Astyanax mexicanus: one gene and its partner. Each later gene encodes a partner of the first gene's protein in a complex. Links are inferred from orthologs where the notes say so. Each region holds a gene or a part of one and is shown in the gene's direction. Other genes may lie near its edges.

Region 1 (9,987 bases):
GAGCCTGTTGGTTTGACGGTCCTCCATGAGAACCTGATCGAACTCACTAGAAGAGACAAGGAAGAGGACAGAAGTGACACAGTCAAAGCACTCAAACCAGCGACGGCGCTCTGACCGCTGTCCTCCCACATCCACCATCTTGAACGGAACATTCTTGATCTCAAAGTCATACTCGTGGATGCCCTTGGTTGGCTTCCTTGCCAGGAGTATGTCCTGCTGGGTTGGTAAATAGTCCTGAGAATAAAGAGAATAACAAATAAATTAATATTCATGAAATAAATCATACAGACTTTGCTAATAGGTAATATACATTTTCTTTTTATCAACAGTGCATCTAGTAGGGGAAAAAAAAGTTTTTACCAGCTGCCCAATTCTGTCCAAACCATCGAGAAAATATTTCACAGATTCTCCCTACAGAAACACACACACACACAAAAGACAAAAACAACAATTAACAATGAAAGAAATCACAGCAATCATAAAACAAAATCATAGCATATATGGACAAAAAAAACTAAATCACGTCTGCCTTTATTTTTTAAGATTTTAACATTGTTTACAAAACCAAAAAAGTAAGAACAGTCCAGAGTCACTTGTAAAAAGATATTGCAAGTAACAAGACCAAAATCATGTCAGAACTTTGTTTGCTTTTAATATTAAGTTAATCAAACATTTATAAACATTTATCAAACAAACATTTATAAACAATTTAACAGCCCAGTCAGTTAAACTACTGTTTAAAATTCGGTTAACAGTTAATTCAGTAATGAATGCACTTGATGCAGATTCCTGATACTTTTCTAGCTGCGTTAAATTATTGCTGGAATAGCAACAGTAACCTTTGTCCCTGAGTGCTCAATTCTAAATCCTGAACAATAACCCCTCCAGTTTTCTCTCAATCCCTTATTATAGAGAACAGGGCTGAGTTTTAACTCTCTCTCAGTTTCCTCAGTGTGTATCACAAAATCTCTGGTCCAACACTACTCAAACTTCCTCAGTCAGCGTACTGCATTAGGCCACATTTCACACACACAAGACTTTGTGCTAAATTAGTAATCAAAGATTTCTTAATAAACATATTAACATATTTAATGCCTGTGTAAAGTTTAAGCTTAATGAAACGCAGCAATGAAAAACAAAACAGGAAAAGGGGAACAGGGACATTTCTACAACCACATGACAAGAGTTTCACTTTCGGTTGGTATCTCTGTATTACGGTATACTGTGCTATTTCTGATAGAAGAATCCTAATGATAAATTCTCAAACATAAGTCTGCATGATACAAATGTTTACTGATCAAATGTAATCTGTGAAACTCTATATAAAGCCCCTGACAGTTTTGCTTGTAGGTTTGCTGCCAAGGGAGTGCCTGAACTTTTAACCCAAACCTTCTAAACATAAATTCAAATAGCATTAGCCATTATGTATCTTCCACACCCTCTGTAATAATGGATGACTAAATGCCTATCAGGTTGATGGATTATGAATCTGTGTGATGGACTGATTTTCTCTTAGTCAAACCAAATAAGACCATTGCATGTCCAGTGCTATTTTAACGAATAATGAAAGGAACAGTTTCCCCAACAATACTGCTTCTGTTTTATTAGTATTTATAGATAACAAACATGGCATTAGTAGGTGGAATAGACTATTCTGAAAAGACTAAATAAACAGCAAGTTTCCTTTCTGGAAAAGTGCTTTTAGTTTGGTTATGGGTGGTTAACAATACTCTGTAAGCATTATATTGTCTCTTATATTGTCACTTTAGAAGAAGCAGAAAAGAACAAAACCAACAGACTAAAGTAAGTTATGTCAATTATGTAAAATATGTTTTAAATATAACTACAACACATAATACAGTGTCCATATTGTAAAATTGGGGATTATCTGGTTTAAATATTATTTTTAATGCATGCCACATTAACATATTTGGGAAAATATAAATGATCCTGAAGCAATAAACCCATTACACCTTCTGATAAAAATGTTGGATACAGGTGACTACATTTAAAAATGATATACACACGTCTGTATTGTCAAGCTTACCGACTAGCAAAAGATGCAAGGCACAGTACCGAGAAAAATGTTTTCCTCTGCCCTATCCGCTGACCCATACAAAGTGATTAAACAGATCAACATTCTTTAACTGGGAATACAACCCCCCCTTTCACCCACCCTCCCACCACCAACAACAACCACCACACAAATTCTGTCAAACAAGCTACACAAATATCACATGTAAACCAATCTTTTAGGCCAAAAATTGAAAAGAAAAGGTGGGAAAAAAACAGATACGATGCATACAGTGAAAATAAAAAAAGAGCATAAATGGTGTGTTTTACAGTAAAAATGAGTGAAGCTGCTCCTGATAACACAATGTGGGTGGTTTGGGACTCACCAGCTGAAACTCTCTCCTTCTGTCATAGGCAGTCTGAATGCCGCTGTCAGCCCACAGTGAGCGGATCGATGGCAGATAATGCAGGAAAACTTTGGTCTCAACTATTCCCTGGACCATCATGGACGAGCGTGTGTCAAAGCCCATCATGACCTCTCCATGGGCCTGGTTCGAAGGGTCTCCCCAAGGGATGTGCAGCTTTTCTCTGGCATCCACCAGCACCCGTACTCCTGAGGGACAAACCCAAACAAGGAAATTCCAGTGAGATAAGACAGACTGATAACCTGCTGAATCCATCATACTGTACATAGTTGGGAAAACAGGTATTTATGAGTATAACATGTGGTACTATCAGTGTCACATGTAGAGACAGGGTAGCACAAAATAAAAAATAAACCTTGCTTCTGAGGTTCAAATTGGTATTTGGCCTTTGTTTTGAAAAGCAAAACAAAAAGGGGCAAAGAGGCGCACAGAGATAGTAGGCTATCTGATTATTTTTGACTAATCTGATGATGATTTTTTTCTTAGATTAGATGATTAGTCAACAGTTATTTCTGCCATGTCCACCACCTTTAAAATCTATAGGAATAGCTGATTATTTGATTTAAAAGGCATTTAAATGTCAAGAAATTGTTTAAACATGGAAAGTACTGATTATTTAGTGATTATACTGTTTTTTTTTGGGCACTTTTGGAGACACAGACAAAGTTGAGTGTAACCCAGAACTTTGTGTAATGTGGTACTGTTACAAATAACGATTAGTTGACAATGAATTTTGTAGTTGACAGATTTAAATAATCGACATTGACGATTATATCGACTAATTGTTGCAGTTCTAATGTAAACCTAAATGCATGCTGTAGATATTGTAGTTGGCTAGCATAGACAGCCAAGTGTGTAGTGCAAAAAAATAAAACAAACAAACAAACACACAAGTTGACAAGTTGAGTTTTCAAAAGTCAACCTCATCCTTGAGTTTACCAAACCCCTGAATGTCATACTGTCCTCTTGGGTGTGACTTACAGTTCTCATAATTGTGTACAACAAATAAAAGTAACTTTTAAGACCCTGTTAAGAGCTGTTAGCTAGGTTAAGCTAACTACTAGAGTGTTGAGCTCCATAGGCGCGGCGCTAACACGGTGTAGTAGTGTGAGCGTAGCTGTAAGGTTAGCTAATGCCAGATGTAGAGAGCTGCATCGAAACTTCCACACACCAAATCAGTTTCACTTTGAAATAACAGCAGGGCGACGGTCTTATTGTTCTAATCCAGAGATGAACCGCGTCTTTTCTGAGTTAGAAAGCGGAGTACCTTTGATAACATTGCTGTAGATCGTAGCCCGGAACTCTTCTTTGGCCCGCTGATCGAAGTCCTGCCCATGAATTATGCGCATTTGTTTGAGGAAAGTTGACTTGCCACTTTCTCCAGCTCCGAGTAACAAGATCTTCACCAGGCGCTTCACGTAGGTCTTCTCCCGAGAAATACATCTGTCGATCTCCTTGGACTTCCTCTGCTGCTCCACTTCGTTGTTGGAGAGAAAACAAGCGGGGATACAGACTAAAGCCGTCCGGGAGGGCAGGAAATCAGCCATTTTTGTACTAACAACTTCATGGATCCATCACTCGCGGGAGCGCGCGTCGCTCAGTGCGCGTGCACAAACCTGGGCGGTGACTGTGCGGGGTTTTAACTTGTCCATTTCTTTGTGCTCGTTCACTTTATTCACCCACGGCCCCTCTCCCTCACAGATAAAGACCCAAACCTCTTCAATAACCACAGTATAAACACATGGATGGAATATCATTAACCGAGTTTTCAGAATATTTAGACTCTTTTAGTCAACTTAGCAGATCCCTGATTTTTGTAAACACGTAGAAACCGTGATTTAAAAGTCTTATATTACTTTTAAAACAAAATTACAAACAAAAAATAATATATTTTTACATAGAGAGTAAATTAAATACGCAGCTAAAAAAACTAAAAATAAATACACATTAATATATTAATATACCCTAATATAAAATATATTTGATATTTTATATTATATAAATTCAAGAAAGAATGCGATGCATTACAATTTTGCTAAACTTAAGCAGGTAGCAAAACAAAAAGTCAAAATAAAGGCCAAAACACTTTTTTTTATTGTATTTTAGATTTTGCTTTTATTTTGAACTTTATCTTATATTTTTCGTAACATGTATCCATTCAAATAAAAAAGTAAAAAGTAATAAAAATAATAAAAAAATAGTAATAGTGTATAAAAGTGTACCTTATATGAGGAACCTTAAACAAATCAACAAAAAATTGTCCATGGAAAAAAAAATGTAACACGTCGTTCAAATAAAAAGTCAGGGAAAAACTCAAAAACGAAAAACAAATAAAATGTAAAGACAAAAATGTATTTGTCCATGAAAAAAGGTTTATTCTTTTGTGTCCATTAAAAGAGTGAAAAAAAAAACATAATTAAAAATGAAAAATAAATGAATAATAAAGTGTATCTTATATAAGAAACCTTAAAATGCAAAAATGTATTTGCCTATGAAAAAAACATATATTTAACTTTTTTTGTAACATGTGTCCATGTCATTCGAAAAAAATGGGAAAAACATCATTAAAAAAGAAAAAATAATAAAAAAAAAATGTTTATCTTGTATGAGAAACCTTAAAAACCAAAAAAAATATTTAAATAAAAAAGTTTAAATAAACAGATAAATAAATTAAAGGTGAAAAAACGAATTAAAAACGAAAAATAAATACATTAAAAAGTGAAAAAGCTAATTAAAAAAGATAAATAAATAAATGTATCTATCTAAAGCCCCAGAGCTCCTTCAGCAGCTGGACAGCGCCTCCTGCCGGGCGGATCGGTGTCACTGCCGCTCTGAGGCAGGATGTGACAGGTTTGGCTGGTAGGAGCGGCGATGTTCTCTGATTGGTGGAGACAGCCAGCGTCTCGGTGTGTGTATCAATAATAATAAGAGATTAGGCTGGATTAGTAAAACTCCCACGTTCATCCGAGAACCCGCTTCATTCCCGCTCCTCGACGGTGATCTGCAGGCTGCTCCTCCTCTGCTGTGCGGACCACAGACCCAATCATGACCATCAGAAACGTGCGGGATCACGGACAGCGCTACAGACCGCGGATGGCTTGTCTGAAAAAGGTGGGTTGAATGGATGAATGGAGCGGGGTTAGATCACCGTCCTCTGTGGGTCTGCTGTTTTTCAGCTCGTTTTACTGGTGATAATAGGCGTGGGTTATTGATTGGAGAGAAATGTTATGATATTGATCAGGGTGAGCTATATTGGGCTGCTGTCAGTCAGCTGTTTATCAGACCTGATGTGCCTGTATTGGATGGGAACTGATTTGTAACTCCTCTCACCCTCTTCAGCATTTTTATGGTGTTAATGCAACTGTTGCTTTTTACAGCTATGTCTATATAAAAACACAGTGCACTGTGTACATAATAAATGCACATATGAAACATACTATAGAACATGGGAATTTAATTTAGTTAATTTATAAACTAATGAGAATAAATCACAGTCACATATGTTATCAACAAATGTATAGCTCATGTTCTGTGCTTATCTACTTAATCACCTTCTGCTCTTTATAACCCATCGTGCATCTTTGATGCCACCTATGTGCATGGATTGTGTACCTAGAAATTGATGCAGTACAGCTGTCAAAGGGTTAGTTAAACTAATTTTGGCCAGTTAAATCCTTTGTATTAAATTACTTTGCTTAATTTGTCTTATTTGCTCAAATATTTATCAGTGTATTTACTATAATACAGTAACTGATATTGTGACATTGTAAAAAAAAACATGTAAGTAACATCTATCCAACTGTGAAGTATGGGAGTGGATCTAGGGTTGTGTTACTGCCAGTGGCACTGAACATTTTGCACAGTCGAAGTGAATGAATTTCACAAAGTATCAACAGATCCAGGACACAAATTCCAAATAATCTGTTAGGAGGCTGAATGTGAAAAGAGGAGTGCATCAGACACAGCAGTGCTGCTGCAGTTTTTAAATTCTCAGTGTCACTGCTGGACTGAGAAAAGTACAACAACCATATCATTTGACCACTGATGAAGCACTAGAGGATGACCAACACAAACTGTGCAGCAGCAGATCTGATTATTTTATATCTAAAATTTGACCAACTAGTTCAGATTGTCTAATAAAGTTTGAGAGACAGTATGGAGACCCTGTTTAAAATATCCATCACTTATATATATATATCACCCCACACATACATGACAAGGTAAAAGAGGATAATATAGTATGCTGACAAACAGAAAGATGTCTGTATGTAATTATAGAACTACTATGTGCTCCTATATGGGCAGTGGAGCTGATAAGATGGACAATGAATGTAAAAACAAGACGGTAGTCCTAATATTGTGACTTGTCTGTGGAGATATAGAAGTATATGTGTGTTATGTGTGTTAGTTGCCTTAAAATGTGTATACATTATTCCTTCCCATCAGCATGTTGAGAACAAATGTTCACTGTCCAGCTTAAGGTCAGTACTGCATGTACTTAAAGGTATTAGTCCAGCTTTATTACCAGCCTCAGGTCTCTTAAGATATTGCACTAGGAGATGCTTCAGCAGCAGTCTGAGGTAAACAGATGCCTGGTGTCAGCCCATTCTCAGCCCTCTAAACCCAATATTGACTCTACATTGGCATGGTAATAGCCCAATCACTTGGCTAAGAGCTCGCTGTGATCCAGATGAAGGTGCACAATTCCCCAAACAGCCTTCAGAAGCCACAGACCCTGACAAAGCATGAAGAAACTTCAAACAGCGCTAAAGACTAACCAATCAATCGCTGGTGTATTTCAAAGGGGTCAGCCACGTACCCCTCAGGGCATGAAACAGCATGTGAGAGGCCAGCAGGGATGGCTTCATGTTTGAGTATTGCATGATACAGCGTTTAGAGAAGCTGACTTACTGACCAGTGGAAAGAGCACCACTCAAGTTGCCTTATTTGCATTATTTGTGTTAAGTATTTGAATAGCTTTCTTTAAGAGCATTAAAAATAGATTTATAAATACATTAATTGCAATTGCTTTTCATTTACACACAACCCCTCATGTCTCTCATGGTATATCTAAAACTTTTCGGGATACATGGAATACAACACAGTAAGTTTTTAATTTTTACAGATTATTCCATACACAATGCATCTGAACAAAAACCTGGACAAAAATATTACATAGCAAGAAGGAGTTTAAATTAAACAACATTTTATATGTGTAAATATAATGATTAAATGTGTAACCGATTACAATATTAAAGTGGAAGGACAGGTTCATCCACCACTTACTGCCATTAGATCCCAAACAGAGCCTGTATTTGCCACTAAAGACAATACAGTTCCAGTCTATAGCAGTCCAAGAGGTGTTGGCTGGCTGAAAGGTGACCACGATTTCGGGCAATTTGTCAAAGCGACCATCCTTATTCTCTCAGTCCGATGATGTGCCCCGCCTCAAAGTCTAACAACTGTGCAGAATGAGTTTGAAAGCATCGTAGAGGCATGTCAAGCAGTTTGTGATCTCTCACCAAGAGGTACACTAGCCAAAAGTAGCCCCAGAGAGCCCCTGAAACAATTTTCCTCTCTCTTGTGACACGCTTCAGTATCTAATCTATCCTGTAATTATTTACATATCATTAACTAGTCAAGAACTTGATGGATGCAACAAAAAGCTTGGAAAAGTAAGTGGTACTAATAAACAGCTGTGATGGGAGCAATTTGCAACTGTCCCACATGCCTGGCTATAAAATATTATCAAACATTGGATGCAGGCGATCTTTGGGGCCTCAAGCTGTATTATGCAAAGATAAAGCAATATGTTAACTTGTTCCAGAAATGGTACTGTCCAAACCTTAGTTGAATCAAAATTTTACATTTTAAATGAGCTTAAATTGTTTAACAATTGTGTATTTCCTCAGGAAATAGACGTTTTTATGATTGTTATTATAATATAAGGTTATGACCTTGTTCTGCTTCTGCTTTATGTTTTAATTGCAGCTGGAAGCTGTGGTGCTGGAGATGCAAGACCCCAAGACTGGGGTGAAATCTCAGACACAGAGGCTGGTCATCACCACCATTCCTCATGCCATAACAGGTAAGTCTTGAATAAACATATCACAAATCATTGCAGCACTGCAGTGAGGAAATGAGCATCGTTATTGTGTGCAGCTGTGCCTTAATGGAAGATCTCGCACACCATATGAGACACCACTGGCTTTAAGCCGAAGTGATGAGACTCTCGCACGCGCAGTGATTTCTTCAGAGATTACTCTTTAACAGGGTAGTTCCAGCCAGCCCATGCATTGGAGTCCTTCTTCTTATGTAGGTCTAGGTCTGAAGTATCTATTGCCATGACAACCCCTGAGCAGCTGGCTGCAATGACTCCCTCCTCGAGGCTGTGTGGTCTCAGGGTGAAGAGCTTTTCTTCAAACCTCTCCGTTCTCAAAGCCTTGCTGCTCTGTGAAGACCATAAACATGAGACACACCAGTGGGGACATATTTGCTTGTGTTAAATTAATGTATGGAATCATGATATTTTATTTTTTACACAGTATACATTGTGATATTTAGGTTTGTGTACAAATTGAAAGAGACAGAAGGCATCAGTAAAACAGCAGGAAAAAAATAAATAATAAATAAATAATAAATAATACACTGTGTCCAGTGTGGGGGTAATATTGGCATTCTGTACATTATTCCCAGTACACATGTGACACTGAATGGAGAAACATTACATTCCTGCAAAACTTTGGAAATAGAATGTCCCATCCATCGGTTTCCCACTATTAACGCTTTTCCACCAGTGTGGAACAGGCTTCATTGCAGTTTGTGCACCTAATTTTTAACCCTTCAGTGCATTTTCACCCTTCAAAAAATAGGTTCTGGAACCCAGAAAGTTTATTTCGAGCTGGAATAAACAATAGCTGTTTTTTACGCCTCTGTAACCTGCAAACCTGAACGGAACCAGTTTAAGAACTGGTTTTAAGAGTTATTTTGGTCAAAAAGCTCCATATAAGGCCTTGATACTCAGATAAACTCAGATAAATCAGTTCACCTTGCCATGAGAACACTAGTTTTTCCCCAGAATCACATGATAACACCACACAACAAACAATTTGAACTAGTCTGCTGCAATCTTAAAAATGTAAAAAGTTATGTGACTCTGCCCAGTGTAGTCTGTAACATGGAGGATAACTTAAACACTGTGTAACTCCAGCAGCTTGCATTAAAGATTGATTAATTAAAAAAAGGTTTAAATAAAAGTGTAAGAGAGATAAAATGTTTAATTAATTGTGATATAGATTAGACATCACGTTCCTAAACAATTTTGTGACATAATGCACTATAATAATGATTACATTATATTACATTATGATGACTTACATTAAATATATAAGCATAACTTTTGATTCTTGTTCTAGGAAATATTCATTAACTATTAGAAATGTAGTTATACTGAGGTATGGAAGTATAACTTGCTGGATATCTAAGTGGTTAATATTTTGATTACTAGGCATTGTTTCTGAGAAGTGTGTCTGGCACTGTGAGGACGCAC
Region 2 (11,009 bases), on another chromosome or scaffold:
GAGTATCACAGAATAACAGTAATGGGATATCATCATTATCGTGTGCAATGTATCGTGATAATCTCGTATCGTGAGATGCCCTGTGATTCTTCAGTGTCATCTCCAGTACCATGTTCTTGTACATCTAACTACAGGACACTTTGTTTGATCATTTGTACACATACTGCTTTTGGAAGTGTCTCTGTGTTTATCCGTTACTGTTATCTGCTTTTTTTTTTCAGTATCACCTCTCTGCTGCTCCCCCTCTCCTGTCATGTGACCTGAAGTGACACAGGTTGCTTTTTTGGAGAATGGGATGGCGAGAACTAATGGTGGACAAAGAGTTCCTGAGCTTTTCACTTTCATCTTAAGTCCTCTTCATGCTCTGAGTAAAGACCTGATTGGATTAGGGCTAAAAGCGGCACAAGCAGATGCCGTGGCTCCTTTAGGATGATCTGAGTTTAGTAGGGAAAGCTTGTAATCCTAAAAAGGAGGCTTATTTAAAGAAAAGGGACAGGAATGTCCACGACGTCATCACTGTGATGGAAAACGGTCAACCTCAGTGGATCATCGTATTGCTGCTGAATTACAGGACGCTAGAGGATTTCTGAAAGGTGGAAATGTCTGATGGCACATACAGTCCCCTCAAAAAATAATTGGAACAGTGAGGGGGCCAATCCCCCCCGTTTTCTACTGAAACAAAAGCTTTTGTGACGTTAAAAAGCAAAATATCAAAATTTCTTCAGCTGTGCTTTTGCAGATGCTACTCAGGGTCAACCTTACACAATACAGTACTACAGAGCTTTGACTTACTGCTCACCCCAGCTCAAGTATAGCGTGTAGACTCGCCATGAAGCACTGTCTGAATCTCTGGAGCGGTAAGAGTGCTTAAATTATTCAGTAGAGAAGACAGGCTTCTTTTATCTCATTTTTTTACTCTCGGATAGCGCAGACAGTAACATCTATTTCCCATATTTTATGTTCAAAAGACCGGGACATCCCTTCTGCGTTAATGTAGATGTTAAATAAGATCTACTTTCAAAGCCTTTCTATCCAAACTAACTTATTAAAATACTTATAAAATTGTCCAATATTCCAGTATGTAGCTCCATATTTTTTATATGTACTATATACAAAATATGGAGCTACACACTGAAATATTAGACAATTTATACAATTTGCACATTCCATATATCATGTATATTTATAACCCCAGTTCCAAAAAGCTTGGAAAACTATGTACAACCCCAAACCAGAAACATTTGGGATGGCATGGATAATGCAAATAACAGAAAACTGCAGTTTTTATTTTATTGCAGACAGTTTTAACCTGAGATATTTCATGCTTTGTCTGCTCAAGATTTAATTCATAAATAAATATCCATTCCTGTATTTAAGGCCTTTAACACGTTCAAAAAAGGTGGAATGGTACTAAAAAGGCTGGAAAAGAAAGCAGTACTAAAATATCTGCAATAGAAGCAATTTGCAAATAACTCAAATGACTGTGTATAAGTCAAGTCTAGAGGTTTTTTATTGTCATTTCAGTTCCTCAATGTAAAAATAAATATCCCACCATCTACAGCCCATAAAATCATCAAAAGATTCAGAGAATGTGGAAAAAATATATGTGTGCAAAAAAATTGACAAGGCTGATGGTCATTACTGGATGCTGGTGATCTTCAGGCCCTCAGGTTGCACTGAATTTAAAACATACCTGATTTTGTACTGGAATTCTCTGCACAACCTCAATAACACTTCCAGAAATCACTGTCTGTAAACAGTTTGAGGTGCAGTTCACTAATGCATATTAAAGCTGTAGTATGCAGTAAAGAAGCCATAGCCATGTGTCAACACTCTACACAAATGTCAAGTAGAATGTGAATGCTAAATTTCTTGGCTTAGTATAGAAATCATTTCTTGCACTTTACATGAGAAGATGGGCTGCTTCCATTAAAAGGGGCATTAGAGGGCATTATAGTGCTAATCCCAGTCCCTTAGTAACCTGTTAATCTGGATTATAGCATGTGCAGATCATCCTGTCCACTGGACGAGTGACCCTCTCGTTCAAGTAACGTTAAACTTCATTAGCTCTTTACACTTCATACACTCTTCCATCCTGTGTTTTTTATAGTTAATATCCTTCACCAGTTTAAATGACAAAGCTTCAGACAAAGCTGCCTGAGCAAACATCAAACTAGCAGTAGGCCATCTCCCAGCCTGTACTCTCATTAATATGTCAGTCTGTGCAAATGTTTAGGTGTCCCAAGGTGCCAGTCAATAAGATCCTCCTATTCTCAGACATCAAACAGTAAGCCATATCTGAGCCTTCAGCTGGGAACTAATAGGTATATGTTTGAGTAAAATGAATATTGTTGCTTCATTCCATAAACTACGGACAGCATTTCTCCCAAATTCCAAATAAAAATATTGTCATTTAGTGAATTTATTTTTTTTGTTATAAAACAAAAAAGATGCAGACCTTTCAGACCTCAAATAATGCAAAGAAAACAAGTTCATATTCATAAAGTTCAGAAATCAATATTTGGTGGAATAACCCTGGTTTATAATCACAGTTTTCATGCATCTTGGCATGTTCTCCTCCACAAGTCTTACACACTGCTCTTGGATAACTTTATGCCTTTACTCCTGGTGCAAAAATTCAAGCAGTTCAACTTGATTTGATGGCTTGTGATCATCCGTTTTCCGTTTTTGATTATATTCCCGAGGTTTTCAACTTGGTAAAATCAAAGAAACTCATCAATTTTAAGTGGTCTCTTATTTAGCTGTATATTAAAATTTTTAATCTCTTCTTTGGATGGATTTTGAGGAAACTCGCTGCTGTTTTGCTACTAATAAGCTCAGCGCTGTACATTTTCTTTGGCTTTACAGTTAAAGTCATTTTGACTGAGAGCCAGCAGCTGCTGGGTAGCTCTGATGGTTATCCCTGCATAGGGAAAAAGCTCCACATTAACCTGCTGCGTGCATGCATAACAAGATGCCATCCCAACTACTGCCCCATGGGGAGGAAAACAGCATGCCCCTGCAGGCCTCTGCCTGAGCCAGCTTTCTAACCACACTTGCCAGCTGTGCCACCCTGCCATTATGCCCTCCCTGTGACCTAAACAGAATTAGATTAATATAGACTGCTACTATAGACTGAGTTTCAGAACAAGACAATCTATTTAATAGGTATACCATACATTTCCCCATGTTAAATCAACACTGATAGAGTCAAAATGTAACTGTATGTTACTGTATATAGGTAGATAGGTGTTCTAGGTGGTCTCTCATGTGTCTTTGGTGGCTCCTACCATTTTTCCAAGTGGCTGCTGTGGTACCCCATCTGGTTGGCTGGGTGTTATTACATCTTTCTAAAATATTAATTGCGATTATCTCTTTTTCCACATCTAAGTTTCCACTTTTTCCAGATTTCTCAGGACACATGGCAACCCTGATGTGTTTCCTGCACTCTAAAAAAACAGAGGTACGATATGAGTACTTTTTTGTACTCGAAGGTACATTCTTTATAATTGTACCCTCAAAGGTACAATATTGGTCTTTACAGGGTCAGATTTGTTCCCTCTGAAGTACAAAGTCATTTCTAACAGCAATAAGTACAGATTTGTACCATTTAACCAGCCAAAAGGTACATTCAGTATTCTGCATCACTGTACTAATGAACAGTATATATTTAAATTGCACATTTTTTATTTGAAAGCCAGACAATTTTGTATCATCAAGTTTTTGAGCCATTTTTAGTTGATGACAATGTTTATAATCTTTATAATCTATACTGGCACAAAAACCATGGGTACAAAAAAGGACTTTTACTGAAAGGTACTTTTTTGAACCTTAATATAAGGTACAGCCCCAGCGACAAGCTTTGTACTCTTTTAAGTACAAATCTGTACTTATATTTCTTAGAGTGTGGCAGTTATCGTTTTCCTGAATCAAATTGCTTCATATGCTTGAATGATGCATTGGTTACTAAGGTGTTCCAGAAAGTTGCTAGGTTATTACTAGGTAGTGTTTGCTTTGGTACCACAAAAAGTTGGATGGGTGCTTCTAGTGTGTTATCTCCAGTATGTTTACTAGAAATCAAATATCCCATAAAAACAATTTCTTTGATATGCTTGGATGATATTTCATGTGGTTGCTAGGTTGTTGCAAATGGGTTGTTGTGGTACCACCAATGGTTGAACGGTGTTTTTCTTTTATTATTTTAATTTTAGTCATCTATATTATCAATAAAAACATGGGGAATTATTTAGTAAACAAAACGTTTGAACAAAAACTGTGTTTTATACTTTAGATTATTACAATTCCTTTTGCTTAGATATCAGCTTTGCTCATCTTGGCATTTTCTTAGTCAGAGGTAGTCACCTGGAATGACTTTCAGTTGCCGTCAATTGCCTTCTCAACAGTTAATTACTTGAATCTCTTGCCAGTTCTCTTAAGGTGTTTGAGAGCATCAGTTGTAAACTTGTGAAGAGGTAGAGATGGTATACAGGGATTACCCTATTTAAGTTAAGATCTAATCCATATTATGGCAAGAAATACTCAACTAAGTAAAGGGACTTTGAAAGTATCCTCAAGTGCAGTCGCAAAGACCATCAAAAGGGATATGATGAAACTGGCTCTCATCAGGACAGCCTCAGAAATGGAAGACCAAGAGATACCATCTTCAGATGAGATCCCACCTAAATGTTTTACAGAGTATTTTTGTTTGTTTAACACATTTGACTTCAGTATTAATTTACATTAGGAAAAAAAGAAAATGTATATGTAAAACTTTTGAATGGTATGAACAAAACTTAAAATTGTTCTCTTTAATGTGATTTTCAAGTCAGCTAACAGGACAGGAAATATTGAATTGCATTGTAAATTATAGCAAACTCATTTCCTCAACTAACATTTTTAAGTTTCTTTTTAAAAGTTGGCCTAACTAAATAATTTATGTTGGCACAATTACTAATTGTTTAAGGTGTCACTGACACAAGTTAATTTTAGTTGAAGGAGAACTCCGGTTTTAAATGGACTTTTGGTATGATAACATGATAAAAAGTATTTACCTTTGATAAATAGCACACATCCATTCTCCCACAGCGTTCCGACATCCAGAAATTTTAACAGCTTGTCCAAACACTCGGGGCATATTGTGCCCAGATAAAACGCTTTTTCCACCATTTTCCAAGCTGCTATGCTATACAGCGTTTATGTATATGTCTATGTTATTATCATTTCAAAAATGGCGGCGCACAGAGCTGAAGCTACTGTCATTATGCCCCACTAGCAAATTATGCCCCGTGTCACCCAGTCTGAAGGGTGTTTGGATAAACTGTTAAAATTTTTGAATCTCAGAACGCTGTGGGAGAACGGAGGTGTGCTATTCATCAAAGGTAAATACTTTTTATCATGTTTTACTACACCAAAAGTCAATTTTACACCAGAGTTCTCCTTTGAAGGATAGTCAGCAGAATTTACAAAACACATTTCATAGATCCTAAGAACAAAAAATTAATTTCTAAATTGGTGAGACTTAATGTTTAATGTTTTTATGCATATGAAAAAATGAATTATCAGAACTAAAGATTTCCAGTTCTCACAACTGTCTATTATTTTTTAGTTTTTTTTTTAGTTTTCTCAACTTTTACTTTTTTACAGTATAAATGTATAAATTATATAATTTCAGATTTAAAAGATCCCTTTTTCTCCACTGTTTTCCTCCTAGCTAGTGAATGATGGGCAGCTTACACCAATTGTACCTGACATTCAAATCCAATACTGTGCTTTGGCCAATCACAGCGCTGCATTTTGCTGGGCTCTTTGCTCCGTTTGTGAACGCGCAGCTGACTGGCTCTGTGTTTCTGTGATGCGCGTTCATGTGAGCAGCGAGCACACGCTTGGGCTACTAGTGGTATTTAAAGCGCAGTGATTGAGAGAGGCGGGCGGTCGGCGCGTTCACGGAGACGCTGGCTAGCTAAAACCAAAACAAAACAGCGGGAAGGGGAATATATTTCTACACCGTCGCGTTTGCTGGGGTTTTATGGCGCTGGGGACGCGTCGTGTGTGGAGAGTGGAGCTGTGAGGAGCGCATACCATCGTTTATTGTGTTATTTTTTTTTTGTGGGGCGAGGGCCAAACACTCGTCTGTTCTGGAGGGATTAGCCAGGGATGCTGATGATGCTGATGATGATGATGTGTGCACTTCCTGTGAGTTTGGGCTAAACGCTTTTTTCTATCGTGCTATCGTCTAAGTGCAGAGCTGCAGGACGGTCTTCTGAAAGAAAGGAAGAAGATGCTTTTAAATTGATGCTCCACCCGTCCGCCTCCTGCATCTCGGGTTACTGACGAGGACTAATCTCCCAGGGTAAAAGTAAAGCTGTTTACAGATCCGTTTATTTGTTAAGCCTGCTCTCACAAGCTGGGAAACATGGCTGTGGCCGGAGAGCTGAGTGGATTTGTCTGGCTGAAAATAAAGAAATGTTAAAGGACCTAACATTAAAGGTTGTTTTTGGTTTTTAAAGCTTTTTTTAACCTCCCCCAGTCCATCCATCATCTCTGCAACCCATCCACCAGTGGTCAAACATGGGTAAAGACGAGTGCAAAACCATGCTGGATGCCCTGAACAAAGTCACAGCCTGCTACCGGCACCTGGTCTCAGCTCTGGGCAGCACCTCAGACTCGCAGAACCTCAGAGAAGAGCTCAAGAAGACCCGCAAGAAGGCTCAGGAGCTGGCCGTGGCCAACAGGACCAAGCTGACAGCCGTGCTGAAGGATAAGAGCATCAGCAACGATGATCGAGTGGAGTACGAGCGCCTATGGGTGCTCTTCACCAGCAGCATGGAGATCCTGGAGGTGGACATGAAGCGCTCCCTGGAGATCGGCCAGAGCTTCCCTCTGAAGGTGCCCACCCGCCACTTTATCCAGACTGGCATGACGGGCAGCACCACCACGGTGGCGGCCAGAGCCATGAGCGTGCAGAACATGAAGTACGAGGCGGATGCTGGCATCGACACGGCCGACCTCAGGGATCTGGAGACCGAGATCGCCCAGGTGGACCAGATGCTGGAGGAGATGGAGATGAAGGTACAGGTGGCGCCGTGGGCTGTGGAGGCCAAGCAAGAGGCTGGCGCCGAGCTAAAGTCCACCGTCAGTGTGGGCAACTCGTCTGTGGGGGTCATCTCCGTATGCGAGGAAGAACCCAAGGAAGGTGGTGATGGAGAGGCTGGCATCATGAAGATCTTCGCAGGCATCGTGTTCACCGCTGTCTTGCTCATAGCTGGAATCCTCGGGTACTTAGTGATCAACCTCTGAAGCAGGAGTCTTCAGACACCACCAGTCTTATGGGATGGACCTTCTCCAGCACTTCAGCTCAGCTCAGCACAGCACACAAAGCACTGTTTCACCTATACAGCCTGCCAACCAACTCACGCCAACACTGCCCAGGGTGTTTGGGGGGCTGATCGGATTGATTGAGAGGGGTCAGATTGCACTATATAGAGCCTAGCACTGTCTAACTCGATTGAGGATGGACACTGGAGCTCCCAGACAGCCCAATCATCATCTCTCACACTGTGGAGGTTTTATAATGTTTCTAATGCAGTATTAGTACAGGCTACAGTACAGGAGGGAAAGAGGATTGAGGTTTTTACCCCATACTGTGAGGAAGCAGGACAAAGCAAAAAAATGAAGGCATTGTGCTGAAGCGTGCAGTGGTTGAAATTACACAAAATACCTTTGAAGATACGAGGTATGGAAGATAGAAAGAGGAGAACAGGCTAGGCATGATGGATCTTGGCCTTTGAACCGTGTTCCCAAACTGTTTTGTTGAGAAATATTAGAACTATTCAGGGCTTTTCAGGTTTGTTGATGAGGTTTTGTGCACTGTGTAGAGCAAGGAACTTTGAGAAACCATGTTGACCATGTAGACCAACCAGATTCCTTTCAGCCTTATGGAGAACCTGTCAACTGAGACATCCAGAATAGGTTCAGCTTATCTTGTTAAGATGTAAACAAAGCCATTCAGGGTCTCAGAACTTGTCTACAGGACAGTTATAGCGTTTTAATCTGTCTAAAATGAGCAGAGAACCTGCAATGCTGTCTGGGGGTTTAAATGTAATAGCGATTACGTTAAAGTGGAGTGGACAAAAGAAGAACCTTGAAAAACCATGTAGACCAACCAGATCTAACCAAAACTTCATTGATTTCTTGTTAACACCCATCATACCAGACAGCCAGGAAGACTTCAGCTTCATTGTTCATTGTTGAGATGTAAACAGAGTTGTTCAGGATGTGAAAGATGATCTACAGCACAGTTATACTATGTTAATTACTGTCTTTGTACTTCATTATTGTAAGTCGGTTTGGACAAAAGCGTCTGCCAAATGAAATGTAATGTAATGTAATGTAATGTCTTAAACAACCAGGGAAAATACACATGCTGTGTGAGGTATTAAATGTAATGGAGATCATGGTAAAGGGGTGAAAAAACAAGGAACCTTAAGAAATTTTGTAGATCAACCTAATCTAAACAAATTAATTCTGAAAATGTTGAAATTGTTTACACCACAATTATAAAATTTAATTCCTGTCTGAAACAACTAGGGAACTTACAAATGCCTTCTGAGGTTATGATGTGATGGTGATTATATAAAAGTAAAAAAATATGTCTTTTTTGTCTGTTTTAATGACAAAATAATCTTTTGGAAACTATTTTGCCTTAGCATGCCCTGAATGTACCCCTCCACCGAGATTGAATTTAAAGCCAACATCTAGGCTGAATGTATTGCCAAGCTATGGTAAACCACTGTGTCAGGCATCAGGCAGAGTATCTGTAATCATGTAATGCAGTTACTTTCTGTAATATAGGCATTTCAGCAATCTGTTTCCATTCATCAGTTCTGTGACTCTGTAAGATGGAATGACTTTGTTTACGTCTTAACTTAATTATGCACAGATTTTTGAAAATCCGCTGAAATTCCCCTTTAAGAATGTAATGCTGGAAGGCCCAGCTATGATAGAATTATGAAAGGAATATGATCGAGTTAATAAGTGCGCTATAAGCCTCAATCTCACAATCATATTTAGGTGCACCTTAACTCTTCTAGCTCAGCAAACGCACAGCAACCCACAGCATTTATATCAGGAGAACAGTGTTACACTTTTTTTTTCAAGCCAGTATTACAGACCAGTGACTGTGTCCAAGCTTCGGACTGCACGCACGGTTCCTTACAGTGTCTCAGCTCTTTACAAAGCCCCTTTAGATTGTGCACTATGACTTTAGGTGTATCTGTGCATTCTTGGCAACAGATGCATAGTGAATTTGTACATAATGCACTGATGTGGAAATAGTGTACATACAATTGAATATATTTATTACAATAAATGATGTGAGCAGCGATGTTGTCTTGTTTGAAAATGTAATAGGCCTGAACTAGGTTTTATTTTTAATGGCTATTGAGTTTTTGGGTTGAGTGTAGAGCATAAGTGGGCAGTTCCACTCCTCCAGATTTCTCTACAATTTTGTGTTTTTCCTGTTTGAACACACCTGATTCAACACCACTGTTAATTGCTAGGTTTATAGTAGATCTGACAGAGCAGAGAAATCAGTAAATGTGCTGCATTCCAGCTCCCGTTACTCACCCCAGGTCTGAAGTATAATAGTTCAGGCCTGTCATAATAATTAATTTTCTTAGGCAATGTATCGGTCCAGAAATAATTGCCATAAATTATTTTACTGTCAGTTTCAGATTAGTTTATGCCACTGATATAATAATAATATAATATTGGAATTTTTTTATTCTATTTTGTTACAGCACATTTAACTTTCAATTATTATTAAGAATACTCTGACATGGGATTGGAACAACTGTTTAATTATGATAAATAATTGTAACGTAAATAAAACATCTCCTAGTAAGCACAACATACAATACAAAGGTCAACAAAATTATTTAAATCATGTCCATATATTGTAGGATTGGTCAATATCGTAATTTTGTTGGACATCCAACAAAATTACGATATTGACCTATCCTACAATATATGGACATGATTTAAATAATTTTGTTGACCTTTGTATTGTATGGCTTGTTTAGGCTCATTTTCTGGCATTACAAGTCTGAGAATAATTTATGTATTGCTGTTTGTATTCTCAGATGTTTCTTATTTATGATGCTCTAGAAGTCTAAGAAATTCTCCAAACCAGGATTCTCCAGTCCTGCTCCTAGAGAGCTGCTGTCCTGCAGTTACAACTTCACACAGCTGATTAAGCTCCTGAAGGCTGTAATTAGATGGATCAGGTGGGATTGATTAGTGGTAGGAGTTTAAGTCTGATTGAACTTAGCTCTCAGGGAGCAGGGTTTGTGACCCCAGGTCTGAACTCTTGTAAGGGGATCAAAAAGAATATTTTTAAAGGCAAAAAACTCTATTTTCATTTCAATATTTTAAAAACAATTGACATAATGAAAATCTGGCAGCTGTTCTTTATATTGTCATAATTTTCTGATGAATTGACCCAATATAAATGTAAAAAATTAACAGATCTTTTTACATTTTGGAGAGTTTTGTGCGACAGCAACAATATATTATAATTTTTAAATACAGATCTGGAAAAAAATAAGAGAGTGGACACTTCCGTTTCTAAATCAGTTTCTCTAATTTAGCTATTTATCGGTATATTGTTTGAGTAAAATGAACATTGTTGTTTTATTATTTAAACTACAGACAAGATTTCTCCAACATTCCAAATAAAAATATTGTCATTTAGAGCATTTATTTACAGAAATGAGAAATGTCTGAAATAACAAAAAAGTCTGTTATCACAGTTTTCATGCATCTTTGCATGTTCTCCTCCACCAGTCTTACACACTGCTTTTGTATAACTTTATGCCACTCCTGGTGCAAAAATTTAAGCAGTTCAGTTTGGTTTGATGGCTTGTAATCATCCATCATTTTCAATTCGGTAAAATCAAAGAAACTCATAATTTTAAGTGGTCTCTTATTTTTTCCAGAGCTATATTTACTGA

What was found. The genes of interacting proteins can lie anywhere in the genome.
Region 2: rgs9b (region 1) and si:ch73-167i17.6 share a complex: the UniProt entries of both Homo sapiens proteins name them as parts of the RGS9-1-Gbeta5 complex. The link is inferred for Astyanax mexicanus from reciprocal best matches to the Homo sapiens genes RGS9 and RGS9BP.

What each region holds. Positions count from the first base shown.
Region 1 is NC_064422.1:28,641,884-28,651,870, reverse strand, and holds the start of rgs9b (regulator of G-protein signaling 9b), read left to right. Parts: upstream 1-5,297; 5' UTR 5,298-5,483; coding exon 5,484-5,549; intron 5,550-8,429; coding exon 8,430-8,526; intron 8,527-9,987. Other genes in the region: gna13a (guanine nucleotide-binding protein subunit alpha-13a), read right to left, coding at 1-234, 361-411, 2,400-2,626, 3,706-3,985. UniProt on the Homo sapiens protein: Inhibits signal transduction by increasing the GTPase activity of G protein alpha subunits thereby driving them into their inactive GDP-bound form. Binds to GNAT1. Involved in phototransduction; key element in the recovery phase of visual transduction.
Region 2 is NC_064416.1:13,601,928-13,612,936, reverse strand, and holds si:ch73-167i17.6 (regulator of G-protein signaling 9-binding protein), read left to right. Parts: upstream 1-5,858; 5' UTR 5,859-6,567; coding exon 6,568-7,296; 3' UTR 7,297-9,380; downstream 9,381-11,009. UniProt on the Homo sapiens protein: Regulator of G protein-coupled receptor (GPCR) signaling in phototransduction. Participates in the recovery phase of visual transduction via its interaction with RGS9-1 isoform.